Linked DNA regions of Rhinolophus ferrumequinum. The protein of the gene in region 2 purifies or fractionates together with the protein of the main gene of each other region. This does not show direct contact. Links are inferred from orthologs where the notes say so. Each region holds a gene or a part of one and is shown on either strand. Other genes may lie near its edges.

What was found.
Region 1: the proteins of FASLG (region 2) and SNX9 purify together in Homo sapiens (co-immunoprecipitation; 3 studies listed by BioGRID and IntAct, with this or other methods). This does not show direct contact. The link is inferred for Rhinolophus ferrumequinum from reciprocal best matches to the Homo sapiens genes FASLG and SNX9.
Region 3: the proteins of FASLG (region 2) and SNX33 purify together in Homo sapiens (co-immunoprecipitation; 3 studies listed by BioGRID and IntAct, counting the BioPlex papers as one, with this or other methods). This does not show direct contact. The link is inferred for Rhinolophus ferrumequinum from reciprocal best matches to the Homo sapiens genes FASLG and SNX33.

The regions. Positions count from the first base shown.
Region 1 is NC_046286.1:99,674,295-99,684,424, forward strand, and holds the start of SNX9 (sorting nexin-9), read left to right. Parts: upstream 1-6,001; 5' UTR 6,002-6,852; coding exon 6,853-6,864; intron 6,865-10,130. UniProt on the Homo sapiens protein: Involved in endocytosis and intracellular vesicle trafficking, both during interphase and at the end of mitosis. Required for efficient progress through mitosis and cytokinesis. Required for normal formation of the cleavage furrow at the end of mitosis.
Region 2 is NC_046305.1:8,086,574-8,097,633, forward strand, and holds the start of FASLG (tumor necrosis factor ligand superfamily member 6), read left to right. Parts: upstream 1-6,699; 5' UTR 6,700-8,073; coding exon 8,074-8,412; intron 8,413-8,982; coding exon 8,983-9,028; intron 9,029-11,060. UniProt on the Homo sapiens protein: Cytokine that binds to TNFRSF6/FAS, a receptor that transduces the apoptotic signal into cells. Involved in cytotoxic T-cell-mediated apoptosis, natural killer cell-mediated apoptosis and in T-cell development.
Region 3 is NC_046289.1:99,975,110-99,986,025, forward strand, and holds the start of SNX33 (sorting nexin-33), read left to right. Parts: upstream 1-6,440; 5' UTR 6,441-7,377; coding exon 7,378-8,827; intron 8,828-10,916. UniProt on the Homo sapiens protein: Plays a role in the reorganization of the cytoskeleton, endocytosis and cellular vesicle trafficking via its interactions with membranes, WASL, DNM1 and DNM2. Acts both during interphase and at the end of mitotic cell divisions.

The DNA.
Region 1 (10,130 bases), on a different chromosome or scaffold from region 2:
CTCCATAGCCTGTGACTTGAGCAATGACACAGGAACTAGCAAAATGTCCTTTGCTACCCAGCTATTTCTACCATCAATATCATTTGCTTCTTTGTGCTCAATCACTGTCTGTAAAGATGTTTCTGAGAACTAATGTCAGAGTCTGCCCACAACAGGTCAGAGAATCAAAGCAATTTCCTAGGGTAAAGTTTTAGGGAACATCAGTGATCATGAAGGCTGAGAGCTTGCTAGTTAGCCCATCTTACAATCACTGCCCTGCTCTCAGTATCCTAACCCAGCCTTCCTTCTGGGAGTCAGGACCACCCAAACTGAGCGTAAGGCCAGTACAGAACCAAGAGCACACAATCCCTGCTGCAGCCTAACCCTGCCTGTCAGTGTCACGCCTGCCATCTATGCAGACTCAGCAACCTCCAGCCTCTTCCTGCCTGCTCAGATCCTAGCAATTACATTCCAGCTAAATCTCCAGTTCTGGACACCATTTCTCATTATTCTACACAGATTGTGTCTCCCAGACGGTGTCGAGAGAGAAGTGACTTGGTCAAAATGGAACCAAAACTAAAGCCAATCAACCAAAACAAATTAAAAAGTCATCCACTTTTATACATACATTGGCCAGCTTAACACCAAGGGACAGCTTCCTATAAAATAACCTTTGCCATTTCTCTAAAACCTTTGCCTGCTTTAATTTTCCACCAGAGAACTTACAAAAGCACCTGACGTGTTACATATGTAATTGTTTATCTTCTTCCCCCACCCACTCTAGATTCTAAATTCTCAGAGCAGGGACTTTTATTTCCAACACCTGCAACTGTGCCTGGTACAAGGTGAGGACTTAACATTTTTTGTGATTGGAAAGGCACCTGCCACACCACTTTCTCCTGTTTATTTCCAAGGCCACCCCTGAGGTTCACTTTAACCTCAATTAATTTATAAAATGAGAGAAAAAAATATACCTTTGTGCCAACCCAGTCTGACGCTGGGGTTCTGTCCTATTCCCCACTCTTCCCATCTTCCACCATATAGGGTGGGCAACCATTACGTTTTCATCCCATTCCACATTATTTTTCATAGTTTCATATTCCCACATTAGTTTCACATTAGTTAACCTAGCACTTAGTAGTTGGGATCTGAGCTATTGGAATATAAGGACAATCTAATTTCGACTAGAGAAAGAAACAAGAATTATAACTGATATTTACTGAGAGCTTATTATGTAGAAAGCGTCAAGCTAAATCCTTTGAGCTCATCATCTAATTTAATCCACACAACAAACCCATGAGATAGATATTATTGTTGTTGTTGTTGTTGTTGTTATTCCCATTTTGCAGTTCAGGAAACTGAGGATGAAGAAGTAATGTACCTAAGGTTACATGGATTGTAAGTAACAGAATTGTCATGCGGGGTCTCTGGTGTTCCTTTTTGGCCTCACCATATCCTGCGTTCTTATGCAGCGAATGGTACCAGAGACCCTGCATGACAAGAATCCAGCTCTGTCGACAGGAAAGTCTGTGCTCCTAAGGAAGAAAGAATGGAAAAAGAGAGAAGGGAATTGGGATGAGGACTGTATTTGTGTTTTGTGGAACCATTAGAGCTATATCTAAGAAAGTTAAGTTTTTAAAAGACAACTTTTAAAAACTATCATTTCAATGTGAAAAGATGTGTTTGGGGCTAGAGAGTTTCAGAGTTACAGTGATGAAGTTATTAATTTCTGCAGTTAAAATAAAGGTGCTTTAACTTTATAAGTGTATAGTCATAACACCTAACTGTTACTGAACAAACCCAGGGCAAGAGTTAATAGCCATTCTTATGGCCACCAGCTGTGCCATTAGCACAGGCTCCTAGGAATGCTTGTCACTCCCTCCCCCTGGCATGATAAAAAGAGCTCAAAGCCTAAACTGAACAACTCTTTGTGGCTCTGGCTACAGCTTTTTTTCTTTTAAAAGTGCCATCTAGCCAAACGCAGTCTGCAAATGCAAATCAAATTCCTTAGCTAATCAATTGTGTTCTCACCAATGGGAGTAATGGAAATTCAGGCTGTAGAGCAAATAGCTGAACTTGACGTGTGCCAGTTTCAACCTCTGGGTTCTGAGGACGGCCCACGGAAAGCACCACCTCTGAGAAAGCCTGTCAAAGGAAGGAAGTGGATGGGAGGAAAGAAAGAGGTTTGAACAGGTGATCAAATGGAATCAGAAGATGAAACCACGTTCTTCCCAACTTGGCCCAGGGCTTTTCGTGATTATCCTGAGTGACGTCAACTTTCTAGTTTGGGAGAAGCCACTGTTCCACTTGGCGGCTGGACTTCTTGGAATAAGATGAAAGGATATCATGCTTCTTCTGTTCTTCTAGTGTGGGTGGGTGGCTCCTAGCACAGTTCAAGACAGGAGTCCTTGACTGGTTTATCTTGTTACCGGTCTAAGAGTCCATGTGCCCTACGCTTCCGAAAGCCAAAACTCCAAACATAAGAGTTGGGAGTAAGGAAAGGTTTATTGTTTGAGAAGGTGCCACTTGAAAAAATGGGGGGTTCTAATCCTCAAATCAATCTTAAGAAAGTACAGAGTTCAGGCTTCTTTTAAGTCAAGGGAAGGGAAGATGGGAGGGGCAAGAGGTGATTGACGACCACAGACATCTGGGTACCAGCAGGGTCTGAGGAAGACCCGGAAATCTCTAAATCTCTTTGTTTGTTCTTAGTCTGTTCACCCCAGCTGACCTGAGTCTGCTCTTGAGGCTCCTGCAAGCCTTTGATAAATTATCATTATTTTTGTACACATTTCCCCCACCTGCTTGGGAGCGGCGCCTTCCAGCAAGGGACTGTTCTTTTAAAAACTCAAGTCCCACGTAGAATTCTTCTAATGATTAGCATCTCTCTAGCAGGAGCTGTTAGCCTGAAGGCCACAGGAACAACGCACGCCGGAATAAGATTGGGCCAGAGAGACGGATCATGTCACTGGTACAGTGACTGTCTTGACCTTCACAAAACTGCCTTCGAACCTCTCACCTGAAATATTTTTAGTTCAAAAATGACATGTTTTGGAGACCCGTGATAAGAGAAGTGGGCTCTTGTCTCTGCTCTGGCCTAATGCACACCAATAGGTAAGTCATTTACCTACCCTGTAAGGTCCAGTCGGACCAGCGAGCATTGGGCAGTTGAGGTTTATATGCCGTTAGGGACAAAGAGAGGGGAACGGGTCTGGGATTTCAAAGGCAATAAGCAATTTACAGGTAGCTGAGTAAGAGGGGAACACAGGTGACAGGCAAATCCCTGCTAGCCAACTCTGAAACAATGGGACATGAGGTGGGGCGTCTAGTTAACAGGCCCCAGCTTAGAGCCTTTCTATGTGCCACAATATGTTGATTCCCTTCCAGGAGAAGGCCTTTCCATCTGAATCTCTTAGGCAGGAAAGGGCGTGGGTCAAAGGTTCTCTCGGGGTCTTCATTTCTTAATAACCAACTTAAAATCAGTATCCCAAGAGGCACACTTTGGGGGTGGCAAAACTTTGGTCCCCTTCAGTGGTGCTAGGGCAGGTTGGAGACATGGGCACAAAGCCTCTGCTCCTTAACTTACTGTCTGATGGGGGGAGTCAGGCAACTGGTCACTCAATAATGAATTACAAACAAATTTCCAAAGGCAAGGAAACCAAGTACGGTGAGACCTTCAATCAACAGAACTTGACTGAAACTGGGGGCAGGGAAGATTTCCCTGAGGAATACTAACTGCTGTGACGCTCCAGGAGAGCTCCGAAGGATGAGTGGGAGGTCAGCTGGTGTGTGGGGTGGTGGGGGGAAGTGAACAGATGGTGGGGGGATAGGGGTAATTCAGACAAAGAAACAACACAAGCAATGTAATTTGCTGTGAAATGAAATGAAAACGTGAGGTCTCTTGTTCAAGACTATTCAGAATTTAAAGTTTGTGAGAGAGAAGCATTAAAGCAAGAGTGGGGTCCCTCTAAGCACTGGACCCTGCGCAGGTCACATGCCCAGGAACCTCTCCATGGAACAGAGTATGATGCTGGGGGGGGGGGGGGGAGGAAGCGAGAGGCCAGTATGGCCCCGGGAGGGTGGTATTAGATGGAGCTGGAGCTCAGACTCCCTGAGATTACATTAGTGATGCACTACCGGACTAGGAAACAATGTCATGGTGTTTTTACTATCTCAATAATACAGGTAGTGATTTCACTTTCATTTAATGTTTTTATTGATTTTGCTTAGTCATCATGAATTTGATGTCTTCCATGGTTACTTCTAAGGATGAAACCAAGACTACAGAAATTGTTCAAATCGGAAAAGCTTGGACTCTGGTCTTTTTCCTTTCTTGGTATCAGGTGTCCAGGTTGATTGGTGGTAACCGCAGGCTTGAGGCAGAACCTCTTGGAAGGTCCAGGGAGCCATTGCTCTGCTTGGTCCCGGATGTTTATTCAGCACTCATTTTACTCAGCCCAGAGGAGAGCACAACTGGCCCACCAGCACCCCATCCAGGCGGGTGTCAATTGAGCATGCCAAAAAGCACAGGTCACAGGATCAACCCCGAGTTTGTAGCTCCCTTACAAAACATGCATTGTTGAACTGCTGCAGGGAGCTGAAGGCAGCTTTCAAATGTGAAAGAATATGGAAAATTCATTACTTATGCTATTACCCAAGTTCAAATCCTGGCTTTTCCACATACAAGTTAGTATGTGTTCTTAGTCCAGATATTTATTTAGTTGTTTATTAAAACAAACATTTTTAAAATAAAGTAATAAACACATTTTCAAAAATTCTGACGATGGCATCTAATGAATCTTCAGGCATTTTCTAGGTATATACAAAGTATTTTCATATTTTTTTACACAAGTGGATTGTGCTATGCTATGTTTATCTTTATTTGTGCCTTTTTAAATATTATCCTTTTCTTATGGGCTTCCCAGAATTTCATTTGCCTGGTATGCTGTATTGAAACAGTCCTATTAACAAACATATAGGTTGCTTTCTGTTTTGGGTTAGAACAATGCTTTACTTAACTAACATCATGACTCACTTGCGCAAATCTGACAGCACGATACATTCCTAGAAATAGACCTGCTAGGCCCAAGGTTATGGGAATTTTCAATTTTGAAAAGTATTACCAAATCAGCCAAGTTATTTCAGGGAGACTTGATTTCTTCATGTCTGTAAACAGTGGACAACAATGACTTTCTCAAAGTTTCCTTATAAGGATTAAATAAGATTAAAGCATGTGAAAGTCTAGTACCATGTTTCCCCGAAAATAAGACCTAGCTGGACCATCAGCTCTAATGCATCTTTTGGAGCAAAAATTAATATAAGACCTGGTATTATATTATATTGATTATATTATAAAGACCGGGTCCTATACTAATTTTTGCTGCAAAAGATGTATTAGAGCTGATGGTCCAGCTAGGTCTTATTTTCTGGGAAACAGTATATAGTAATTAAACTGTCAATGAATGGTAATCTCTCGCTTTCCTTTTACTTTGACTATTTATGAGTATTATAATTTATGACTATAGCTTTAGCCATGAACTCAGCAAACAAAAAATTTACAGAAAATTCTGTAACACCATATCCATTTTCAACTCCATTGCTGAATGTATAATAACTCTTCAAATCTCTGGAGGTCAAAGAGTATTTTCGACAGAACACAAAATTTGGCATTAGTTCTAAATACTGCTTTTCTAGGCTAATAATCAAATCTAGACTTGATTTGATAGCTGCCTCTTTTAACATATATATCCCTGATAATAAAAAACAAACTGTACTACACTGACATACCAATTAAGATATATCTTCCAGTCATATTTTTGGTACTCCAGTGATAATCTTACTGCTCAATTTAAGTCATTCATGTATGAATAAAACCCGTGTGTCCAACTCTGAAGAAAAACATGTTGACAAAAAAATATGGAAAATTTTAGACCTCTCATTTCCACTTTCAGAAAATACGTTGTATCTTCCCCAAACCTCTAGGGCCCTGCGTCATTTTTAAATTGATCAAGCGTGCAGAAGGTTAATGTGACATCTCAGAATGAACTCTCCAAGCGTCGCGGCCCAGAAGCTCCAGGCGGGATCCCAGCCTGTGGTAACCCCAGGCTTGAGGCAGAACCTCCTGGAAGGGCCGGTCGGACCAGGGAGCCATTGCTCCGCTCGGTCCCGGCTGTTTATGTAGCACTCGTTTTACTCAGCCCAGAGCACAGTCGGCCCAACAGCACTCCCGACTCAGGACCAAGATCCCCGTTGGTCACCCGTGCCCGGCCAGGGGGACGTAGACTTGTCACCGTAGCCTCGTGCCTCACGCAGCCGAACTTGAGCCGCTGCGTGCGGCGCGGTCGTGAGGAGCCAGTCGGGACTCGGCTCCCGGGGAGGGCGCTCCCCCCCGAGGCGTCCTCACTCCCCCCAACATTTCCGCGGGCAGCCAGGCGGGGCGCGGCCGGGGGCTGGGACCCGGGCACCGACCCCGACTCCGGCAGCGACTCGGGCCGCGTCCCTGAGCGGTGGAACAAAGGGCGCCCGGCGGCGGCGGGCCCGGGGCGGAGGCTCCGGGCGGGGGCGGAAAGTGGGCGAGGAGGCCTGGCTGGCCGAGGGCACCGGGCGCGCTTCCGCCGGCCGCGCCGCGCACGCCGCGGTAAATGGGAGGCTCGCCGGCAGGGGCGGGGGCCGCGCAGTCGGGGAGTTTCAGGAACTGGCGGAGCGGGCGGCGGCTGGAGTCACCCAGCGCCCAGACTCGGGGCCGAGGCGGAGCTGTCGCCGCCGCCGCCGCGCCGTGGCCCAGTCGTAGCCGCCCTCACCTTCGCCTGCCCGCCTCGGGCCGACAGCGCGGCGCGGGAGAGGAGCCGGCCGTCCCGGGCCGGAGATCCGCCCGCCATGGCCACTAAGGTGAGGGGCGCGCAGCGCAGGCCCTGGCGGCCCCTCGGCTCCGCGGCGGGGCCAGGAGGGTCCGGGCCGGGGACGCGGGCGGCAGGGACGCGGGCGAAGCTGAGGGGCCGGCTCGCAGCCCCCCAGGGCTCGGGTCACGCGGGGCGAGGGCGTTCGGGGGCCCGGCTGCAGGCGCTAGAGGGTCGTGGGGCGGGACCCCGGACGCGAGCGGGGCCTCCTGCAAAGTTTGCCCCTGAACGTGGGCTGCGGCCGGCCGCGTGGAGGTGAAGTTCCCGCAGCCCTCGGCTCGCTCGGAGGAGCCGTGCCGGCCACCGGGAGACGCTGGTAAGGTTCCGAGTGGTGTCCAGTCGCCAGTGCCCCGCACATCCGGCCGCGGCGGAGAGGAGCGTCCCCTCCCTCCGCCTCCTGGTGGACTCCCGGCACGCCGGCCGGTTTTGGGGGACTCGACCCCGGCGGGAGAGGACTCGGCGTTTTAAATTCAGGCCGGCGAGCGAGAGCTCCGGGGGAGGGAAAACGCAAATTGAACGCCCCGCGCTTCCACTTCCTTTCTTGTTTTTTTTTTTCTTTTGTTTTGTTAGCTTTTCAGTTTGAATGTTATTTCCAGCGTGAATAAAATACAAAGAGGGAAATGACTGGGCTTTCAATAACGCGTTTGCTTGAAAAAGGCCCAGGCCCGACTTACGTGGTGGAAGTTTGACTCGCGCTTGGTAATTGGCCAGGAGTGGTGCTTTGCTTATTTTAGAGTATTTTTCGTAGAATTAGAGGTCACCCTTCGCTGCTTGCGTCTGCTGGCGTCACCCTTCCCCGCTCCCTTTCCTGGGGTGTTTTCCTTAATTCTTAATGTAAACTAGGAAAGCCAGGACCATTGAATGAAGATTCCAGGAGGTAGTCATGTGTTTTGAGGAATGCATTGACTTTTGCAAATAGTTTTTTGTTCTGTCACTTTTGTAAAGATCAGCACCCTCTTCCATATTTATGTTTGAAATCTGTAAGCTTTTTTTGGTTTGTTGAAAGCCTAACGTTTTTGTTCTTGGGTTTTTGTTTTTGGTAGAGAGACAGGAAAGTAGTAAGAAATGTGAAATCCCTTTAAAAGATAAGATTGTCTGATACCATTTCAGTCTGTTAAATTTTTTGCTCTAAATTTATGTAGGTGCAGTGTTTAGTTTTTTTTTTTTTTTTAAAGGCCACTCTTCTCCAGGGAACCTGTTGCCTGCAGTTACTGAAATAATTACCTACTAGTTAATAGATTATTAGCTATACCCTTCCTTGGTTTTATAAGATGTGATAGAATTTGCTACCTTTTTAACGTATATAATGTTTCGTTGATCCTTTTAAAAACAAAACTCAAAACTCAACAAAACGCACGGATGTCTTAAGGAAATTTGATTTTGAGGTTTGTTGCCACACATTCCAGAAATTACCAGTTACACGGCCTTATTTTACACTCACCTTGCAACCTTAAAAGCTGTTTGTGGTAGTTATCTGTTTAGTGGTGGTCAGGGCTGTGGTATTTCACACTCTGATCTAATGCACGTTACTGGTACTGTCTTTTAGGTGGGTCCAGGCTTAGCAACTAGTGTGGGTATACATGATGAAAAATTTGATAGTTACACCTGAACTTAGTTTTTCCATAAAATCGAAAAGGACAGTTATTGTACTAAACTTGAATTGCACATGTCCTCACTAGACACAAGCCTTAAAGCATGTGTCAGCACTTCCGACTTGATTATCCCCACCACTCTGAAGGCAAATTCCGGTAACTCTGGCTCTTAGTTTCTTTCACCTTTCTAATCACTATTCCACATGGGACTCATTTCCTTGTTTACATGGTGGCAAACTACTTCCATTTTTTTTAAGAAAGGACGAGGAAAAGAGCATTTATTAAAAGAGGACCCATCCTCAGAGTTCTGGTTTTCCTACTTCATGGTGATTCTGTATCAAACCAAAGTCTCATTTTATTTGTTCCCAGAGAAAGTTGTACTTGCTGTTTCCCCTCCAACATCTAGTGGTTTGGGTTTTTCCCTTCCCTTTCTTTAATTGGGTAGTTGGGGAGCATGTACTTTTAATAACTAATAACATCTAACTTTTTAATAAAATTTTAAGACTCATTTGGTACACAGGCTCTTGCTAGGAGCATTAAGTGATGACAAATAAATGCAATATCTGGACATTTTAGGTAGTGTCAGGTTTCCCTTTGAATTTTCCTTTGAAGCCAGAGTTTGGCTTCTGTTGTTTTAGGTATGATTTTCTTATGTATTTTTCTTACATGTTTTCTTGAAGATACAGTTATCTTTGAACTATAGTGATTTTTAAAAAACTCCTCTGGTATACTCACCTTTTAGAAGAAAACTCAATTCTTCACTGCCAAGAAAAGTTAATCAGTAACTGCATATTTTAAAGGGATTATCTGTTCTTTGATCCTAATCCCTAACCCAGGAGAAAGTTGAATTCAGTTTTGAGTGCATGTCGCTAAATTGTGAACAAATACAGGGAAAGGCTAATGTGAATGTGTAATGTCTTGACTTCTGTTAGAAGCCTCAACAGGTTGTATTTTGACACAGTCATATGGTGAATTTAGAGTAAAGTTTTATTTATTAAATCTTGGGAAAATTTTTTTTTTGACCCATAACATATGAAAAGGGACATAAAGAAAATCATTAATGGAAGTTAATCGAGTCATAGCTACTATATAATTCAGATGTGATAGCCATGTCAAAGTTAACCTTTGGTAACTAATTTGGGTCCTTTTGTGATTACATAGTTTTAGGAATAATCATTATAAGAAGATTTTAGGAGTCCCTGGTGTCTTTAATAAAACACAACATCTCTTTCCAGATCCAGTGTCTAAAGTTATACATTTGTGTTATAATTAAGTAGATGTGGAATGTTGAAATACTACTAGGAAATGAGTGAATTGCTCAGGACTGTTCTATGATACACTTAGTAAGAACAGTTCGGAAAGCATACTTTGTACTCACTCCTGAGCAAAAATCTCTTTATCTGAAAAAAAGAATAAAATACTAGAAATGTCTTTCTAAAGAGCCTTAGGATTAAAGTTGGTTTTGATGTTTTTTTTAAAACGTGTGGAAAATGCTAACCATTCAATTTTGAATAATAGTCATATTTTCTAAAGTTTCTTAAGTAGAATATCTGGACAGTTTTTGTAGTCTCAAAGAAAAATTCTATGACAGTAAGAAGGTAAACCAATTTCTTAATAAAGAAGGAATAGATTAGAAAGCATAAAAATTTTGCAGAGTTTTCTACTG
Region 2 (11,060 bases):
GGAAATCCTGTCACCTCCGTGGGCTCGGGTCCACATCTGTGAAATAAGGGACCTGATCGGTTGATGTCCACATTGGCGTGGAGAGTCTGGAGCCGTGTACGCTTCTGGGTCAATAAAAGAGAATTGCAGCTGGATTGCAAACCAGGCTCAGGGCAGAGAGCTTCACTTGTGAAATAACAAACAAGCCCATGGCCCAGCGCACGTCACTCACTGGGCTGAGGCTCTCCTTTTCCTGATGTCGCAAAGTCCCTGAACGACATCCCAGAGCCGGACGAAGGCTGTGTGCCCAAAACGTGCTTCTTCTGAGACCCCGATGATGGAAGGCTCTCGAGGCATCCAGCTGCACGGCCCTGGCCAACATCTGCCAGACTCTCAAAGGAAACAGTGGGTGACAAAAACAACGACTTTGACATTTAAGCCAGTCTTGGGTGCATCTGAGTTTCCCACAAACCCACCGTGACACATGTTTTTGCAGTGAAGCATCTGAAACATGAGTAAGAGGCTCATGAAAGAGCCCACAAGACCCAGGCATTTCCAGTCTTAAAAGATGTTGTTTGGGGTGAGCCTCACACCCCATCCCACTTCCTCCCTGCCCTGCAGGCAGTGGACCCCCAGCCCTATGCACTTGGGGGCGCTGCTCCCGGGTACCGCGAAGCATGTTTGTTTCATCGTCGCTCTCACACTGTGCCCTTTTTGGCTTAGAACTTTGGCTCAAACACCAACAGGCTGTGGGACCTTAGACAAGTCACTTAACTTATTTGAGCATCAGTTTCCTCATCTATATTCAAAGAGCAGAGACTTACTGCGTGTCTCTAATACCAGGCACTCTTCTAGGTTTGGAATTCATGTTGGGCCATTTTCTCTTTGGGAAACTGAGACTGTCAGTCACTGATAAGACTCAGTAAGCAAGATGTGAGCTTCGTCACTGTTCCAGCTGCGCACATGCATTATTGTGCTTGCATAGGAGAGCTGAGAAGAAAAGACAGTCCATCTGCAGACCCACTGCGTGAACTTGACCAGGTCAGAGGCGGCCACCAGATACTAATTGCAACAGAACATGATGCACCTCATGAGAAAAACAGTGAGTGCGCTGAATGAAATTGAAACATGGAGCCAGGAGGACAGTGTCCCCCTGGCTTCTTGGGACGTGCCCTGGGTTGCCAGAAGGTCATCTGGAGACAGGACATCTGGAGGCAGGAAAGACCAAAGACCCTGGGACCCCACTGGGCTACAATGGGAATGGATGCCTGGGGGGGTAACCCTGGTGGTTCCTCCCAAAGGTCTTCTGACGTGTCTGGGTTTAAGAGCCAACAATCGATGAGAAATTGAGAAAGTGAATGAGTTGTAACCTGAGGGTGCTCTAAAACCACTATTTGGGGAGTCTGTTACAGTTTTTCCACATTTATGTATTGAGTGCATATTAGTCAGGCACTGTGCTAGGCAAGGGATACAATAGAGTGCAGGAGAGAGACACAAATATACATATATATTATTTATATATGTCATATGTTATATATAAATAATATATAAATACATATTACATGTCTGAAAAATATATGTAAATATGTCTCTAATATACCTAATATATATATTATATGTGTGTGTGTGTGTATATAAAACTGCCGTAAGTCCCAGAAGAGAAACAAGCCCAGAGTATTATGAGAGAGAATACTAACTTTGTTTATCTCATGTAAGTGGACAGATATTTGGTCTGTGACTGAAGGATGCTGGGAGCTGGTCATTCGTAAGTGGGGCAGAGATGGGGCAAAGAGCAGTCCAGGTAATGGCAGTGTCTCAGGCAAAGAGGTCAACAAGCACTGACCATGATGAACGGAAAGGCCCGTGTGGCCATGGTGTGGTGAGAGAGGAAGAGAGTAGAGTGAAATAAGTTGGAGCGTTAGGAAGAGCCCAGATAACACAAGGGCTTGGAAATCATGAGAAAGAGTTCAGATTTTATTCTCAAGGCAATGGGAAGCCACAAAAGTGTATTTTAAACAGCAGACCCACATGATCAAATTTAGTGGCAATTAAACGAGTGACAAGGCCCTTTTCAGAGAGAGGCAGAGAAAAATGCAATGTTGTCAAACTTCCACCGTAAAGTCAGCAGCAGGCCCGTGGTACCTGCAGTGTCATCAGGAGATGGGGCACATAGTGTCACTGAGTGAGGTTGCATTGATTCCCCCCAAGGAGTCCCGTTCCTGACCTGGGACCCTCCTGCCTTCATGAATTCGGTCAGCATGTATTTGTTGCGACTTTTACCCAGTGAACAAATAGGCACCGTGGACTGGTGGCAGTTATTGACTGGAAGTCGCAGTTCACATTTAGGTGCCTTCACACTATGCTCTCCCCTTTGTCGGTTCCTGTAACTTGTCTCTTCCTTTGCCTAGTGGTCACAAGAAGCTTGTTTCTTCTAGCTCTAGAGCATCATACTATGCCTTATGATTTCCCTACAACGTACCTATATGTTTGTAAACAGTCCCTTTTATTAAGCCTGTTTCAACCTGCCCTCATGTGAGTGTTCCATCTGTTTGCTGATGAAATCCTGATGCTAGAACAGGAAGCTTATTGACAGAAGTGATACGTCAAAAAAACGAAAACTTGAGGAAAACATCACACTTGTTGTGAAAAACTTTAGATGCTCATGATCACAGTTATTGTTTCATATAGTTCTCAAGGTTTGAGACAATACAAAAAGAAAAGAGAAAGAATGAGGTATAAGCATTGGAAGGGAGGATTAAATATTGTCATTTCCCCCCCCCATAATATATATGTACATTAAAAAAAAATCAGAAATCCACAGACACACTAATCAGAAGTAAAAAGAGACTTCCACAAGTTTGCAAGATTCAAGATTATTTATTACGAAATAAGGAGCATTTATTTAAACCAGTAACAGCCATCTGTATTAGTTATCTATTGCTGCCTAACAAATAACCCCCAAATGTAATGGCTTAAAATAACGTGTATTTATTATCTTACAAGGTTTGTGAGTCCAAGCTAGACTTAACTGGGTATTGTGAACTAAATGTTTGTGTCCCTCCAAAAATCATACTCAAAACTCTGCATCCCAATTCGATGGTATTAGGAGGTGGGGCTTTTGGAAAATATTTAGGATTAGATGAAGTTATGAAGGTGAAGTCCTCATGAATAGGGTTAGTGTCCTTTTAAGAGTCCCAAGAGAGCTTGCTGCCTCTCTCTCTTCCCCCAATGTGAGGCTACAATGAGAAGCCAGCCATCTGCAATCCAGAAGCCGCAGTCTTTTTATAACTTAGTCTCAGAAGTGCTGTCCCATCACTTCTGCTATATTCTGTCAGTTAGAAGTGGATCAATAGGTCCAGCCCAGACTTAAGGGGAGGGTATCCTAGAAGGGCACAAATATCAGGAGGTAGGAGAAACAAGGGGGTCATCTTAGAGGCTGCCTACCACAGAATAAAAACAAAATGCCACAGAAAATAAGACACCATGTATAATCACAACATTACAAAGCAATTAATCTAAGAAAGAATGTGTGAGACCATCCCGGAGAAAATTGTAAAGGTCATATAGAAGACATGAAAAACGGTGGATAGGGTGGAAACGTTGTAAAGATAACACTTTCCCCAAGTTAGTACAATTAAACAGTGCCGCAGGTCATTTTGGGAACATGGTAGTTTGTTTTTCCTAATACATTAATGGGAGGTTAAATATACTCAGGCAGCTAAGTCAATTTTGAAAAACAAGAGCAATAAGGGGGAATTTTGCCATAACTAGCTCTCAAGACAGTCTACAAGGCTGTAATTATGAAAACTGTGTGACCCTGGTCCTGGAATAGAGAAATCAATGAAACAGAAATAAGAGCCCAGAAAAAGACTCAACTATATGTAGAAGCTTGGTATGTGGTAAACATACCACTGTTATTCCCTGGGGGAGAAGATGGATGGTGTCGGGAAAACTGGCTCAGACATGGAGAAAAACAAACATGGATTTTTATTTTACATCACAAATAAAGGTGAACTCCAGATAGATTGAAGCCTAAATATGAAATTTATGACAGTGTGGCAGAAGGTATTTTCAATGTCGAAAAGTAGCCACAGATTAATAGCTAGAATATGAAGTGCAAGGAGATCCTGTGACTCAGTGCAGAAGAGATAAATCCAATTAAAAAATGGGTGTGATGTATGAACAGGAAATACAAAAGGGAAAACCTGACTGTCTGACGAGTATATGACAAGATGTTCAACCTCACAGGAAACCAAAAAAAAAAAAAAAAGGAAAATTAATAGGCAAGATACAGCTTTATAACCACAAAGCTTGGAAAAAATTAGAAAGGTGGATAATACCACCAAACAGAGAGGCAGACATGGGACAAGACAGTTATGCTGTTGGTGTTGGTGTCAGCAGACTCAGACACTCGGATGAGCCGCCTGGAAGTACTTTGTGAAATGTACAGGGTAGCGTCTGTGTTTGTGAATAAACAAGCTCCCGCTAGGAGCCTTTGCTCACCTCGGGAGACGATCAGCTGCTGTTTTCACCATGCACCACTCTATGCTACTGCCATGCAGGACCATTTCTGAAGGTAATTCCAATTCTAGAGGGACCATAATTAAACATCATTTGAACTTTCAGCTAATGAGGTAAGATGCTTAAAAGTTTTGAACACGTTTGTACAAGGCGAGTTCTCTGATTCGGTCCGACACTTAAATTTGCTCCCAAGTCTCACCCACAGCCATTAAATCTCTGTGACTGGCAATCTTACCCCTTCCCCTGAAAGAAATCTCCAGCTCGGAATCTCTCTCCCCTGTCCATTCTCAAGGACCCTGGTTCCAGAATCAGAGGGACAGGTGCAAAGTAGGCAGGTAGGGTGAGACTGAGAGAGGCCCTTCGGTCTGGGTTCCCCACGTGGAGGGCTGCCAGCCTGCCGGCTCTTTGATTCATTAACTCAAAGCCTCTCTTTCAGGCAAATATATATTCTTCTTCAGCAATCACAGAGCTGAGATCCACTTTGCACAGATTATTTCTGCTAATTAACAAGGTTCTGATAGTACCCCAAACGATGATGGGTGCCTGTTATTGTTTGCAGGGGTGTTTATGTTCCCATGATTTTGCCATCCTGTGATGTTTGGTGGCATTACCAAAGAGCGATGCCAATGTGGAAAGGCTGCTCCTTTGTCACTATTTCAGTTCAGAGTCGCCCTGAGATCGGCGGGCTTTGGGTGGTTCGGGCACTTACAAGGATTCTGATTTCTCGTATCACAGAATGAATCAAGAGAAGAATCAGGGCAGGGAGAGATGTGAAAACACAGCATAATTTTTACTGAAGAATGCTGGAAGTTTCTGTAGGAGAGTGAGATAAAAAGCAGGGGGTGGGGAGGGGGGTCTTAGCCTGAAACACAGGGGTCCGTCTGTCCATCAGTTCACTGGTAGAATCTGAGGACACTGGATGTCAGGCATTGACTTATACTTTTCTCTGCAACCTCTTTCCTCTTCTTTTATCCTTAATGGAGGAAGGTCACTTACATTATGTCAATAGTTGACGTGTATGTGGGGAGATTCACTGCACTGACAATAACGGCTTCTGTTCAGTGCTTACTTTGGTGCTAGTGACTGTCTCCAGTGTATCAAATGCTTTGACTCATTTAATCCTCACCGTGCACTCTGCAATGGGTACCATTGTGATCGTGCACATTTTTCTAGATTAGAAAACTGTGGCACAGAGGATGGAAAGTGACCTGTCCAGGTCACACAGTGAAGTTGGAAGAGCTGGGATTTGAACCCAGGCAGTTTACGTCCAGAACCACACACCCATAATCATCATGCCACACTCTCTTTCTGTCCTCCCTATCCAGAATGGTGGGATTTATTAGAATCTTTGCCATTTTGGGTAAAATCTTTATAGTTTAAAAAACATTGTTCTGCGTAATTTGTGATAGAGTTATTTCAGGATACTTTAAGGTTGGTTTTTAGTTTTGGTTTTTGGTGTGTTTTTTTTTTTTTTTTTTTTTTTTTGCTATTTTTCTTGTTGCATGTATGGTGGAATTTTTACAATTAAATTTCCAGGTTATTACATATTAACTTTAAACTTACCATTTTTCATAACTGTGAATAAAGCCATAAGTGAGTCCAAAAGCACATTAACTCTGCCCAACTCTAAAATACAGTGAGAACGTTGTACAGTCACTCTGGTCTCATGCATCTCACACTTGTGTGAGGGGAGAGTAGGATGTGGGCAGAGGGTCTGGAGAGGGGGCAGTGCCATTTGTTAGAGTACTAGTTGTCGGAGTCAGACTATAAGGAAGCCCGTCTTATGCTAAAGAAGAATCTGGATAACTCCTGTTGTCAAACCTTCCAACAGAAGGTTTCGGTAAGCAAGTGAGATAATTAGATTTTTTAAAAAAAACATCATTCTTGCAGCATTTTGCAGGGTGACTTGTGCTTGGGAAAAGCTGGTGGTAGAGAGACCAGTTAGGGTACCATTGCAATATTTCAGGTGAGAGATAATGAAAGTCTGACCTAGGCAATCGCAGCAGGAAAAATGGAAGCGGAGAAGGTGCGATGGGAGGAACATGTCTCAGATGAAATCCACAGTCCTGGGTGACTAGTTAAATGTTGGGGGAGAGAAGAGCGAGGAGTGGGAGTTGTCACCAGAAAGAGTGACCTCAGGTGAAACAGGTTGTACAGGGCGTGAGGGAGGGGTGGGGTGGGCAGAACATGGCAGGGAAACATGTTTGGTGTTGGTTTGGTACAGGTGAAGAGCCAGAATGCTAGTCACAGAGATGCCAAAGCATGATACAGAAGCTAATGAAATTGGAAAAGTATAGCCCTCCAATAAAATGGCAACATAGGGATTTATGGGAGGTTTATATGGAAGAATGATTATGACTGGAGCTGAGCTCTTGGAAGTTACTGGCATATCAGTGGTACCTGAGGCCGGAGGGAAAGGTGGGGTCAGTCCAGATAGAGTTGCCATCTTTAATAAAAGACAAAGAAATAGGACAATCAGTTACATTTAAACTTCAGATAAACAATGAATACTTTTTTTTAAGTATATTCCATGTAATATTTAGGCCATACTTATCCTAAAAATTATTTTTTGTTTATCTGAAATGAAAATTGAGCTGGGCCCCATGCATTTCCCCTGATAACCATAACAGTGGCTGCAAACAGAAATGCCTATGGGACCAGGAAGGCACCCATGGGAGGTGCTGTGTGGCGGGTGGAAGGTGGTACAGGTGGGGCAGCCTGGAGCACCGATGTCTCATCCTTGGGGGCAGCTGCTGCCCTGCTCCAGCTGATCAGGTTCGCAGACATGGCCTCAAGGGTGTCCAATATTCTAATGTTTCCAAACAGAAGAGAAGTATATATTTTTAATGTGAAATATCCCAATTTTAAAAGAAGACGACTAATGAAAAGCAAAAACATTGTGAGGCACAGAGCAGGTCTGTGGGTTCCCCAAGGCACAGGGGCCACTGCTTTGCAACCTCTGATCTAATCTTTGCAGAGTGGGTGGGGAAGGTGTTTAACCTGCAAGTTACAGTGCTTTGCAAAGTCAGGGTGCGGGGAAGGGATGGCAGCAGGCCGATGACTCCCTCCCTCATGCAAAAGGTAAAATGTGAAAACGACGCTTGTGGCCACAACTCCATGGTCTTGCCCCTCAGTGTCTGAACGCGTCCCATGGCCACGGTCGCCATAGCTGGGCAGTGGCCAAAACCACAGAGGGCTGCACCCCGTTCCACCTGCTCTCACAGGGCTGGAGAGACCAGCCTATCCCACCAGCCTTTCAGGTAGCAGGAGCAATCATTGGGGCTCTGAAGGCTTTCATCAGAAAATTGTGGGTGGCAACTTCCTGGGCTTTGTGCTGAGAGCTTCTTGAGGCTTCTCACCTTCAGATGCAAAGTGAGTGGGTGTCTCTCTCTGAGAAGCAGAAAGAAAAAACGAAAGAGAGGTGTTTCCCTGGGCTATGGAAACTCTATAAAGAAGGAGCTGGCTTCCCCTCCCTTGGTCAGTCAGAAGCAGAGGTCCCCTCCTTGATCCCTGGGACTCCCCGGGATCGAGAAGGAAAACCTTTGCCTGGGGCGTCCCGAGTCACTGGCTGCCATGCAGCAGCCCTTGAACTACCCGTACCCCCAAATCTACTGGGTGGACAGCAGTGCCAGCTCTCCCTGGGCCCCTCCAGGCTCAGTCCTCCCGTGTCCGTCCTCGGTGCCTGCAAGGCCTGGTCAAAGGAGGCCACCACCACTGCCGCCGCCACCACCACCGCCGCCATTGCCACCGCTGCCGCCACTGCCACTGCCACCTCTGAAGAAGCAAAGGGACCACAGCGCAGGCCTGTGTCTCCTTGTGATGTTTTTCATGGTGCTGGTGGCCCTGGTTGGATTGGGCTTGGGGATGTTTCAGCTCTTCCACCTACAGAAGGAGCTGGCTGAGCTCAGAGAGGTAAGCTGGCGTGTGGATTGCTGTGCCCTGGAGGCACGGGGGGGTCACACAGCTCTGTCACCGTGCAGGGGTCCACGGGGACCGCAGTCTTGCACAGGGCTTTCCAATCCTTGCTTCCTGTCTCAGAAATGGGTCGTTCTAGACATTTTATTCGACAGAGAATTGCAGGTGGTTCCCATGAGGAAAAGGAATATTTTCTGTTGGGGAAAGAAAGGATCAAGGCTGTAATAGGAATGGCAGGGACAGATCTTCTTGTGTCCTGTGACAAGTCAGCCTGCTGAGCCGCGTACTTGGTGATCCGAGAAAGAAAAAGAACTTTGAGTCTTGTGTAGAAGTGAATCTGTTCAAATGGCCCATCTTCATATTTTTGTTTCTTAATGCTTAAAAATATCGGAACTATTCCGAATCACAAAGCTGAGGCATGGGGAGGCACAGCGGCTCGGCCAAAGTCAGAGTCAGGAGAGCTTCTGCGGTAGTTAGAGTCCCTTTCCAGGGCTGGGTTTAGTTGATAATTCTGCCTCTCGCTTAAAGAACTTCATGTTGATTATGTGTCTTTTTCTTTTTTGCCAGTCCACCAGCCAAAGGCATATAGCATCATCTCTGGAGAAGCAAATAGGTGAGTCCTTTTATGCATGGCCATTGAGCTTCCAAAGATAGCCCTCCGTGCTGAACCATGTGGGTGGAAGGCCTTGAATTGCAGGCGGCTCCCATGAGGAAAAGCATCCATTCCCGGGCACATGCATGCTAACGGAGCAATCCTGGCGAATTCGGAATCTCTGGTCATTTGGGTTCCTTGAGCTGCCCTAACCTGTGAATGAATTTTACTGTGCAAAATCAGTGTATCTGGGTACTGCACACCATTCAAAATAATTCCCACTGGCCTTTGGGAAGAGATGCACACAAGTACATCCCTGGACCTTTGCCCCTGAGCAGCTGGCCCCAGGCTAGTCCCCTTCCTCCGGCCTCCTGGTTCCCATACACAGGGTGGTGGCTGTAAGTCCTCAGGAAAAGGGGCAGTGGAGGAAGAGAGCGATGTTTATAGGAAAGGTTTCCTCCTCTTTAAACTCTCAAAGATGTTACTCAAGAGCCAAGAGTTTTAAAACATATTTTATAGGATATGTTTAAAAGCTTTTTTTAAAATAAGTGCAAAATCAGTCATCCACGTAGGATGGTTCTTTTGCAGTCACTAGAAAGCTTGGGGAAAGACTCCAGCCATTATTCGAAGGGTATTCCAGCTTCATGCACAGAGGCAATCGTGAGCTACTTTTAGCAATAAAGGAAAATTCTTTGTATGAGACCTAGAACAGGGAGAGGATGGAAATGTTGAGCAATGGCCTCATGAAACTTCAGAACATAGTTTTGGAAACTGGAGAGATAGATTTAAGATTTTCACCAGCTCATCAAACTAAGACTTATCGACATTTAGATTTGGTAAGAGTTGGAAGGGAGCTTAGAGAGCATCTGGTCTAGTCATCTCATTTTTCAGAAGAGAAACAAAATACCAGACAGGTTAGGTGACTTGCCCAAGACCACTGGTGTGGAACTGGGGCCAGAAGGAACACAGGCTCCTGGTGCCTTGTCACCTCCAGGGCTCTCCTGTATATGGACTGATGCCTCATGAAATAAGGCAACTCCCATCTCGCTATGATGCTCATGGAGTGAGAAACAAAGAAGACAAGCGAGACGCCCTGCAAAGACAATAAGTAAATCTCACCCTTAGAAATGGACGAGAAAGCAGAAGGCAGCACTGGCCACCCAGTCTCTGAGGTTGTGCCCAGTGCAGGCGACCCATCTCTCTGTTGCCCTCGAATGTAAGCTCCTGTCGGAGCCCAACCTTAGGACGCTCTGGTCCCGGTTCTGGGTCTGAGTCCCTAAGTGTTAGAAAGTCCACACATACACAAGCAGAGTAGAAATATTTGGTAGAAAAAAATTAAGGCTCTGGAAGGTTTCTAAACTAAAACAGCTTTGAAAATCAATGGAATGTGGCTGGTGACACAGGTACCTAATTACTCATCTTTCACCCACATTCTGGAGTCATTTTAGTGATTAAAAGTCAAGTGAACAGATGAGTCAGGTCTACCAACTCCAAAAAACAATTGTCTTCTCCAGATCAACCAGAAATTGGTGAATTATCCCATGGAAATCAAATGAGCAACTTGACTAATAAGAGATGCAAATTAAAACAAGGAATACCCATTTTCATCCATCAAATTAGTAAAGGTTAAATACATAAAATGAAAAAGCCCAGACTGGCAAAAATATGAGAGAAAAGGTCCTGCTTAAACATTAAATTGACAGCCAGGGGTCATGTAAATTGCTGTACCTTTTCTGAAGAGCAGTTTGGAAAAAATGTATCAAAAGATTAAAACTGTTAATTTACTTTTGTAATCTCATCAGTACGAATTTATGTTAAGAAAATAATCAAAGATGTGCCTGAAAATTTATATGGAAGGGTGTTCATCACCTCCTTATCAGCCTATTTATAATAAACAGTTCAGAAGAAACATAAATGTCTCTTAATAGGAGGTTAGTTAAATGCACTGTATTGTATTGAGATGAGAGCCTCATGTGTAGCAACTGAAAACCATGAATCAGGACACTTAATGCCATGGAGACTGTGCATCGTATAGTATTAGATAAGCAAAAAC
Region 3 (10,916 bases), on a different chromosome or scaffold from region 2:
TACTGAGTTAACAAAGTTAACTGTTTCAGCTAGATAATATACGAGTGTGGCGCTGCAGGACTAGCCTCTTCATTTGCCCAAGCCTTTGACGCCACCTAGCTTCTTTGCTGATCATTTTGTATTATTTTTGTATGCTTTTCATTGTCTTTTTAAATGTAATACTTGATATGTGGAAAATAATATATGTAACATGTAAGTTATAAAGTACAACGAATACTTATGAACCCAACAGCCAGTTTAAGAAAATGTCACCAGGACTCTTTCATTTGTTTATTTTAACTTTTTGTTTAAAAAGAAAAATCGTTTTATCATTATACATCATCCTTAAATATGCTGAGAACCTTCTTACCTGAAGTGTATCCTGTGGACCAGCAGAGAGTTCGTTGGAAATGCAGAATTTCATGTCCCACTCCTGACCTACAGAATCAAAATCTGCATTTAACAAGATACCCGGTAATTTGTATATACATTGACATTTGAAGAATGTTGCTTAGAAGAAATCACACCATAAGGATTTTATTATGCGTAGCTGTAGTTGCTTTTTTTCACTGCTGCATGATATTCCATTGTTTGGCTCTATCCAATTTTTTTTTTTTTCTGGTTGGATTTTTTTTGGTAGGGACTTTTTCAGCAGTGCTGTTATTAACATTTGTTTAGGGCTCCTGTTGCACATCTGCAATTGCTTCTAGTATACATCTTGGAGCAGAATTGCCAAGTTGTAAAATATGTGCGTGTTCAACCTTAGTAGATAGATATTGCCAGATTGTTTAACAAAAGGGTTGTACCAGTTTATATACTCCTTTGGCAGTGCATGAGAGTTTCCTTTGCTCCTTGTTCTCAATTGATAGTTTTAAAATTTTTTACCAGGGCCAGCCGGGTTGCTCAGGTGGTTGGAGCACCATGCTCCTGAGGCCAAGGTCGCAGCTAAGATTGCGAACAACAGCTCTCCCTGGAGCTGGGCTCTGGTGGGCTGCTGTGTGCTGCTGTGGCTGGGTGGCTGGCAGCCATCTAAACTGAGAAACAATGGCTTAAACTGGAGGGGGGAGAAGAAAATTTTTTTTTACCAATTTGGGGAGTGTTTTAGTATTTCATTACGATTTTAATTTGCATTTCCCCAATGAATAAAAGTTTCATATGTATTTCCTCCTCTATGAAACGCTCCATGTCTTTTGTCTATTTTTCTATTGGATTGTGTGGTAAGTAGAATAATGGTCCTCCAAAGATGTCCATCCAACACCTGTTAATACACGTTACCTTACATGACAGAAAGGAGTGTGCAGATGTGATTAAATCAAGGATCTTGGGATGGTGAGATGATCCTGGATTATGTGGTGGGTCCCAGGTAATCACAAGAGGGAAGCAGAAGAGCCAGACGGAGATACAATGATAGAAGCTGAAGTCTGAGTGATGTGAGTACCAAGTCTTTGAAGATGAAGACTTCATCTTCAAAGGGGGCCAGGAAAAGAGGAATGTGGTCAGCTTCTCGGAGGCCAGAAAAAGCATGGAAATGGATTTTTCCCTAGAGCTTCCAAAAGGAACACAGTCCTGCTGACAGCTTGATTTAAGCCCAGTGAGACCCACTTTGGATTTCTGATCTCCAGTACTATAAAATAAGAATTTTGTGTTGTTTTAAGTCACTAAGTTTGTGGTAATTTGTTAACAGTTGCAGTAAAAAACTCACACAGATTGCTATTTTTTTCTCTCATTGATTTGAAGGTGTTCTTTGTGTATTTCTGGATATTAATCCTTAACCAGTTACACATGGTACAAATACCTCTCCCAGTTTGCACTTTACCCCCTCCCCCTTCCTATTCCCCTAGCCTCATTCCCTCCCATCCTCAGCTCCTGCTCAGCATGTCTGCAGCAGGGCTCTTGGTTAACTTCCTTCTCCTCAGACAAACATGATAAATAAGGAAATTATATATGTTAGCAGGTGTTAAGTGGTATGAAACAAAACTCAGCACAATGTAGGACTTGGGGTGAGGATGGGCTGTAATTTTAAGTAGGGCTTGTCAGGGTAGGTCTTGTTGAGGTGATATTTTATAAGGGTTTAGCCATGTGTGTATCTAGGGGACTAGCATTTCAGGAAGAGGAAACAGTGTGAATGCTTTAAGACAGGAGACATGTGCCTGGCATGTCAGAAGAGGAGTACCAAAGCCATCTTGGCTGGAGCAGAGTGGGCTAGGTGGGGAGGGAAAGGGACTCGGATGACAGAAGCCTGTTGCCTCTTGTAAGGACTTCTGATGCTGAGTGAGAGGAAGACACTTGTCGTGCGGAAGACCCAGCTCGCTGCACCATGTGTCACACAGGGTGTCAGGCGGGGTCTCTGGTCCTGCTCCCCACATAAGAACACAGGATATGGTGAGGCCAAAAAGGAACACCCCTGGAGCCACAGATAGGGGAGTCACACCACTATATTCTCGCTGGCGGCTGGGTTGGAGACACAGGAAGCAGGAGCCACACTGTCCGCAACCCGCCGTCCTAACTGCAATCCACGCTTGCCAGACACCATTTTCTTGCTAGCCCCCATTTTCTGCTAGCGTAGCCACAGCTGATGGCCATCTGATCACAGTTGATGGCCATCTACTACCCAAGCCAGCACCTTTCCACGTGAGGCCGAGAGCCTGGAAACTGCACTCCCGGCTCTGTCCCCACAACACTGCAGGGTTTTGAGCACAGGATTGACATCTAAACTATGTTTCAAAAGGATCATCACCCTGATGCCGTGCTGATAACAGACTATCAGGAGACAGAGGTGGGCACGGAGATCATTAGGGAGCCATTGCAATGATCCAGGCGAGAAAGATGGTGGCTGGGACCGGGACAGCAGCAGTGACATGCTGATGACAGAGGAGTCCCAGGATGATGAGGAGAGTCAAAAATGTCTCCAGGTTTTGGCCTGAGCAACTGGAGATGCTCATCACCTGAGATGGGGAAGGCTGCCAAGTACAACAGGTGTGGGGGACAAGATCAGAAATTCGATCTTGGCCATGTTGAGTTATAGATGTCTAGGAGAGACCACGGAGAGCAGTCAGGGAGAAAGATATGTGAGTGTGGAGTTTTAGAGAAAGCGCTGGGCTGGAGATAAAAAGGTTGTGTGTGACTGGCAGAGGGATGGTGTTTGAAGCCATGAGTCTGGGTGAGATCATTGAAGGAGTGAATGTTGGTAGAAAAGACAAGAGGCCCACAATACTGTAGTCACTCTGTTAAGAATTACTGGAGAGAATAGGACAAATCAGTGAAGTACTAGGGAAACCAGGAGACTGTGTTCTCCCCAGTGCAAGTGAAGTAAGTATGCAAGGGAAAGGAGTGACCAGCTTGGTCAAATGCTACTGGTAGGGTGAGTGAGAGGACTGAGAGTAACCATTAGGTCATTGAAACCTTGACTAGTTTCAGTGGAGTATGAAGTCGAAAGACTGGCTAGAGAGGTTTAAGAAGAAAAAGGGTTGAATTGCAGGCAACTGGTATGGTTTTTGAGTTTTGCTGCAAAGGTGAGCAAAGAAATGGGGCAATAGATAGTGGGGGAAGTGGAGTCAAGAATCTATTTTTTAAAGACAGGAGTTAATTCTTCCCTCAATACCCGCATCTTGTTGGTTGCCATTCCTGTCTATTCTATTTCCATAAACTCCCAGATTTACTTCTCTCCAGCCCGTTAGCCCGGCCTTGTCTCAGGACTTCATCATCTCTTGTCTACATTACTATAGCAATAGTCCAGTGTGTCTGCCGTGCTGCCACTGGCAGGGTCAGCCTGGAAACCACCGGCCAAGGTTCTTCCTTGCTGACTCCTTTCCTAAAGGAGGAAAGTTGGATGCCTGGAGTCATGCTGTTTCCTGTGCAGGAATCAGGGTCCCAGTAGGAAAGAGAAAAACTCCAATTACAGTAACGTGAAGAGAATTTAATAAAGGTACTTTTCCCAAACAAGTGGGCAGAGTGTAGGGAAACCACAAAGGTGAGTGGTTTCCTGAGACTAGTAACCAGGAGCTCTGTTACCCCTAGGCTTGAAGAGGGTCCCTGGAAGGGTGGGAATGGAAGATACAAGTTCTGGAAATGTCTGTGAGGCTGAAGAGTGAGTTTTCCCCAAAAACCTGGAAATAAGGGTGTCCCCTAAGTTATAAAAAGCCACCCAGAACAGATATGAGGGTAAATCCAAATGACTCTTCTGTAAATGTGTGACCGAAGTGCTTAGGAAACAACTAAGGCCATCATGGTGTTGGCTGAAGGCTTTCCAAGTGGGTGGGGCTAGGCTAGGTACGACCCTAGTTGTATGAGCAGAAATTCCAATTGTATTGAGTTAATAAAGGTAAAATAATTACAACAGTGTCCAGCACTAAGGAAGTATTATACTTGCTATTGTTAAACTGGCTTAGAGAAAGGTTCTGTGAACAGAAGAGAGATCACAAAGAGGCACCCCAAAGCAGCTAAGGGGAAGCATTCGGGCTGGTCACAGAGTCACCAGGCTAAACTGCCCTGCAGAGGAGGACAAGATCTCAAGGTTTCTTGGCTGAGAGAATTGCCATACCGTCCCCTCTCCCATCCTGAGGGTTCCAGGCTCACTGTGCTCACCTGGTAACTGGGCTTCCCAAGGAGCAGCCCAAACTGCCTTGACCTGGGACACAAAAATTCAGGTTTGCCTGATAGATCTATTTCTCTGTGTAAACTAATACCTGGGCTTCTGGAGTTTGTAAAAAACACTTTATTTGGGTCAAATGCCAGCCCTGTCCTGAGAATTGGATCTACTCACTGCATCAATGAATTTGGGTTTTGGAGCCAGAGGCCTGCAAATCACACCGTTCAAAACAGCCCAGGTGTCCACATTCAGCAGCACTGCCTTGTGTCAGCTAAACTACAACAAGTGGGAAGAGTGAGAATGAAGGGGAAGTAAATCGGAGCTAAAGGGGAAGCAAGGCTCCAGGGCTGAGCCAGGAAGGGGAGTAGGGGCCGAGGCCTTGGCTCACCTTAGACACCACCTCCTCCAAGAAGCCTTCCTTGATCCTTGCTCCACCTAGGCTGGGATCGGGGCCCTCCCAAGCACATTTCACAGCACTAGTCACACTGGGCAGGGGGCATCTGTCTACTTGTCTCAACATATCTGAGCTTCTGGAAGGTAAGGATAACGTCTTATTCATTTTTGTATCCCAGAGGCCTGGTATAGAATAGCTACTCAGTTAATGTTTCCTTGAGTGCATGATTGCATGAATGAGACAGAGACAGAATGGATGAATTAAGGACAAGAACCCTCCAGGGCAGGAACCCAGATTGCCTTGTGCTGTAATCCCCAGTGCCCTGCACTGTGCCTGGCAGTGCCCAAAGCGTTTCGGATAGTCTGACCAAGGGTCAAATCCCCCTTACCTCTTCCCGGAAGCCTACCGACTATCCCTTTCCTACCGACCATCCCTTTCTCCTCACTGCTGGTGGCAAAGACAACATTCAGTCTCCTCCGCCGCTGCACAAAGCAACGTAGAACCCGTTCGGGTGGTGCCTGGGCTTGTTCCCTGTTGCCACAGATGTACGGTCTTGGTTTTCCTCATGAAGGAAGTTTCCCAAGGCAGGGGTGCTCCTGGCTGTCTGGGCAAAGCACTAGGATCCGCAGCGGCCAGTATCCCAGGCCACTCAGGCTTCTTCCGTGAGGGCACTGCTGGCTCTGGGGACCCTCTCCAGAGAGCGACCCCGGGGCTGCGCCACAGCCCAGTCTGGCCGGAGCTGTGAGGGTGCGCGGGGAGGGGTAGTCTGTGGCTCTCCAAGCAGCCTTCCTCAATTCCCTCCCCCGGTCCCGGCTCTGGCGCCCTCCTTGCACTCGTGCACTTTGCAAACTTTCGGAGTTTTCCTCCCCTGGCGTCATGAAAAAGGAGGGTGCCCAGAGCCCAGGAGGCGAGGCAGCGGCGGTTGCCGGGTGGGGGGTGGGAAGGAAACGCAACGCTCAAGACCCTCGGAACGAGAGGTGCCTCCCAGCGAGGGCGGACTGGCCCTGGAGGCTCGTGGCCCCCTCTTTCCCAGGTCTTCTCCTCCCTCTCACATCCTGATCTGAGGGCCTCTGCCAGAAGGAAAGAAGCAAGGGGCAGGCGGGGCGGCTCTGGTGCCCGAGGCCGGGGAGGCGGAGCCGGTGTCCCTGCCCAGCCAGCCGGGCTGCTCGCGGAAGAGCCTTGGAGTTTGCCTACTTTCCCTCCCTCCCTCCCTCCCTCTCTCCACCCCGCACCTCCCCCAGCGGCTGTTCCCTCCTTCCCTGGGACGCCACCTCCCGGAATCGCCTTTTTTTTTTTTTTTTTTGTTTTGGAGCTGGCTTCTTGCTGCCGGCGCGGAGGGGCTGCGAGTGCAGAGAAGGCGGGCTGGGAGGGCAGCCCTCCGCCCACCGCGGGACCCGCGGGCCAGAGCTGAGGACAGCCAGGCGGGCGCCATCTGCGCGCCGGAGCTCACTCTGCAAACTCCTGTGGAGTGTGTGCGTGCAGGCGAGGGCGGGGGTCTGTACGCCGGCCTGGGAGGCTCCGGCGGGGCTTACCTTTGGACGGGGTCCTGGGACTCACCAGGGTTAGCCTCAGGCTCAGAAACCGCTGAGGAATTAGGCAAACAAAAGAGGCCACTCAGTTGGTGGCCAGAAGTCGCCGGAGCGCCTCGTTGTGCCCCTCGTTCCCTGGGGTGGGGGCTCGCCACTTGGGTGGGGAGCGGGCGCCGGAGCTTGCTGGGGGCCCGCTGGGCCGCCGGGTCGGAGAGTTGGCGGCCTGTTGTGTAAGCCTCACTGCTTGTTTTCCCGGCCTGGCTCGTTGGGAAGCCGGACACATCCACCCTTGGACTCGATTCAGGAGGCTGCTGCTTTTCTCCTTGCCCCTCTTGGATTTTCTGGATTTTTGAAAACCCAGTGGCCCAGGAGGAAGGAGGAAGGAGCAGAACTGTGGAGGAATGTGAGAGTCTCCCAAGGACTGAGGAGCCAGAAGGAGCTGGGAGCCAGAGCCGCTGGGGTTCTGGAACTGTAGTTAGCGAGTGATTCTCTTTTGTTTTAGAACGTTGTTCCAGTGGAAAGAGGAATTCTTGCCCTCTCAGAGCTGATTTCTCCAAGTCACTTGAGTTTTCTTCTGGGAGTGGGAGGAGGGAGAGACCCCCACCCCTCAGGGGCTGCCAAGGGAAGGGAGGAAGACTATGGACATGAGCCCCTCCTGCCATCAGGCTGGTGCCCGGATACCTGATAGGGCAATTTCTGGGCCATGGACACAGCTTTGAAGAGGGGGAGGCTGGACAGCATCTCTGGGTGCTGAGATCTGCCTTAGGGCAGAGAGACGGAGCTGCTGGGCAGGCCTTGGTTTACCAGTGCATTCTTGGATACCCTAGCAATTGTCCCCAGTTCTGGGCAGGATCCTCTCCTCGTCTTTCTCTACCACTGGCCCAGCCATGGCACTAAAAGGCCGAGCCCTCTATGACTTCCGCAGTGAGAACAAGGAGGAAATCAGCATCCAGCAGGACGAGGACCTGGTCATCTTCAGCGAGACCTCGCTGGACGGCTGGCTGCAAGGCCAGAACAGCCGCGGTGAGACGGGCCTCTTCCCTGCCTCTTACGTGGAGGTCGTCCGCTCTGGCGCCAGCTACAGCCCCACAGGCTCTCCTGGCGCCCAGGTGAGCTTGTATGACAGAGCCGATGTGGCTAACGCTCCTGGGAGTGGTGGGGGCAGTGGCTTCTTCTCCAAGCAGGGCAGCTTCGAGGAGGACGATGACGACGACTGGGACGACTGGGACGACGGGTGCACAGCGGTGGAGGGGCCGCGCGCGGGGGAGCTGGGCACCAATGGGCACCCGCCGCTCCACCTCTCCTACCCTGGGGCCTACCCCAGCCAGCACATGGCCTTCCGGCCCAAGCCAGCGCTGGAGCGGCAGGACAGCCTGGCATCTGCCAAGCGGGGCAGTGTGGTGGGGCGCAACCTCAACCGCTTCTCCTGCTTCGTGCGCTCGGGCGTGGAGGCCTTCATCCTGGGTGATGTGCCCATGCTGGCCAAGATCGCTGAGACATACTCCATCGAAATGGGCCCTCGTGGCCCCCAGTGGAAGGCCAGCCCCCACCCATTTTCCTGCTCGGTGGAGGACCCCACCAAACAGACCAAATTCAAGGGCATCAAGAGCTACATCTCCTACAAGCTCACACCCACCCACATCGGCTCCCCCGTCTACCGGCGCTACAAGCACTTTGACTGGCTCTATAACCGCCTGCTTCACAAGTTCACTGTCATCTCGGTGCCTCACCTGCCGGAGAAGCAGGCCACAGGCCGCTTCGAGGAGGACTTCATTGAGAAACGGAAGCGGAGGCTCATCCTCTGGATGGACCATATGACCAGCCACCCCGTGCTGTCCCAGTACGAGGGCTTCCAGCATTTCCTCAGCTGTCTGGATGCCAAGCAGTGGAAGATGGGCAAACGCCGGGCAGAGAAGGACGAGATGGTGGGTGCCAGTTTCCTGCTCACCTTCCAGATCCCCACGGAGCATCAGGACCTGCAGGACGTGGAGGACCGTGTGGACACGTTCAAGGCCTTCAGCAAGAAGATGGACGACAGTGTCCTGCAGCTCAGCACTGTAGCATCGGAGCTGGTGCGCAAGCATGTGGGAGGCTTCAGAAAGGAATTCCAGAAGCTGGGCAATGCCTTCCAGGCCATCAGCCATGCCTTCCAGATGGACCCCCCCTTCAGCTCTGAGGCCCTCAACAGTGCCATCTCTCACACGGGCCGTACCTATGAAGCCATCGGCGAGATGTTTGCCGAGCAGCCCAAGAACGACCTCTTCCAGATGCTCGACATGCTGTCTCTGTACCAGGGCCTGCTGTCCAACTTCCCTGACATTATCCACCTGCAGAAAGGTAAGGGCCAGTGCAGGCTGGACACCCTGCGGAGTCGGCGCTCTGCTGACACGGGGACATGCGTGGCCCACACAGAATGGGACAGCTCATCTAGTCTTTCTGTCTCTTACTCATTCAGCAAGTGTGTTGAGCACCTACTATGTGGCCGCTGCTATTCTAGGTGCGGGGATACTGTGAATAGGTCTGGTCTCCAGCCTCATGGAGCTGGTGTTTACCTTCTTGTCGTCTCTTCCTCCCTTCCTTCATTTTTCTGTTTCTGTCTCGTTTTCTCACTTACCCATTATACATTGAGCCCTCCAAGGTATCAGGCTGGGTTCTGGTCTATGGAGATAACCAGGGCCCAGGCCTTGCGCTTGAGGAGCCCACAGCTCACGGGGGCAGGGGTACAGACCCAGATAAATGGGGCACAGTGTGGCCTCTCTCCCCTTCCCACGGCCTCACCAGCTCACCTCCCTGCACAGCCTGTTCTCACCACTGCGTATCCTCTGTGAGTTCCTGATCTGTGGGGGAGGGTCGCTGTCCCCATTCTGCAGATGGAGACGCTGGTATTCACAGAAGGGTGGTTGCACAGGGAGTCCGTGGGTCAGCTGAGACTATTCCTTCCTCCTGTGGCTCCCTCAGGACACGTCTGTGTTGGCCACCGCCCAAGCCCGGCTATGTTTTCAGTTCTCAGCCCCTCTGTGGGGGAGGGACAGGATGGGCTATTGCTGTGGGGCTGTCAAGGAACTGCCGGGGAAGTGACTCATCGCCAGTCACCGAGGGGCACCGGACTGGGCACCAGACTGGGCGGGGGGAGGAACCAGGGGCCTGGGGCACATGGCCCGTCCCACTCCCTCTTCCCAAACCTGGCTGACATGACCTGGCAGGTGGCTGAATGGAGACCTGGAGACTACAGGCAGGGCAGATGTCAGGAGAGAGGTGTGGTGCTCCCTGGGGCTGCTTGGTAACTCAGGAAGAACGTCTGCAGGGCGTGGGGCTGGCTCCTTGGCCCCTAGGCCCTGAGGTCAGCCCTGGCTTGGTGGGGAGTTTTCCTCTGGGTGGGGCCAGGAGTCAGGCCTCTGGACTGAGCCTGGGGGTCAGCAAACACTACCCCCTACTTGTACCCAGGAAAGTCTGGAGTAAACCAGCCCTGCCCTCCTTCACCGGGTTGAAGTCTAGAACCAGTGACTGCCTTGTGTAGCTCCCAGCCTCCTTTCTCCCGTCACTTTCTCTTTCTCCTCCTCTTCTCTGCCCTTTTCTCTTAGCTCCACATTCCTCTTCTTCCCTTTTCTTTCAGCTTCAGGAGACACAAGGCCTGAGTTTTAGTCTTGGCTCTGCTCCCAATTTGCTGTGTGTCCCTGGAAAGTGCCTTCTCCTCTCTGGACCTTAGTTTCCTGATCTATAAAACAAGGAAAGTGGACCCAGTGAGCTCTTAGGCCTGCAGGGTGGGGGAGGGAGACTTACAGGGAGGGTCTGGTTGAGGACAGAGGGATGCGGCAGATGTAGCTCTGAGCTCTGGGGCAGGTGTCCCCCTGGTGCAGAAGTGGAGCCACGCCCACTGCATAGGGCCTGGGAAAGCTGGTTCGACCAGCTCCTTGGATGGCTTTGGATGGCGTGTTCCTCTGTGAGCAGCGTGAGCAGCGGGAGGGGGAAGCTGGGGCACTGTGATTAACAGCTGCCCGCTGGGTTGGCTGGGGACCCTCACCAGGGCAGAGCTGGGGGTGGGAAGGCAGCCCCATACCCAGGGCTCCTAGACTGTCACTGAAGCAGGAGGGAATGAAGCCAGACTGGCCTTTCTGACCCTAGGGCAGAGCTGAAAGAGGCCATTTCTGACTCTCCACTTAGGCAGAGGCTGGCCCACGTTCCCTCAGCCGGGGGACCCCTCCCCATAGGCCAAGCCCTTTTGGGCTTACTCTTCTTCCTCCTGGACTCTGCACTGCCACTCCTAGGCCTGAGGTCTGGCAAGTTAGGAGGGGCCTTGGAATCTGGCTGAGGCAGAATTGGGCAGGCTTTGGGGGCCCACAGCCTGCTGGAGGGAAGAGGGGTCCCACGCTCGTCCCAAGGGTTGAGCCTTTACTCAGAGGAAGGAGCAGGATACTGTCCAGCTTGT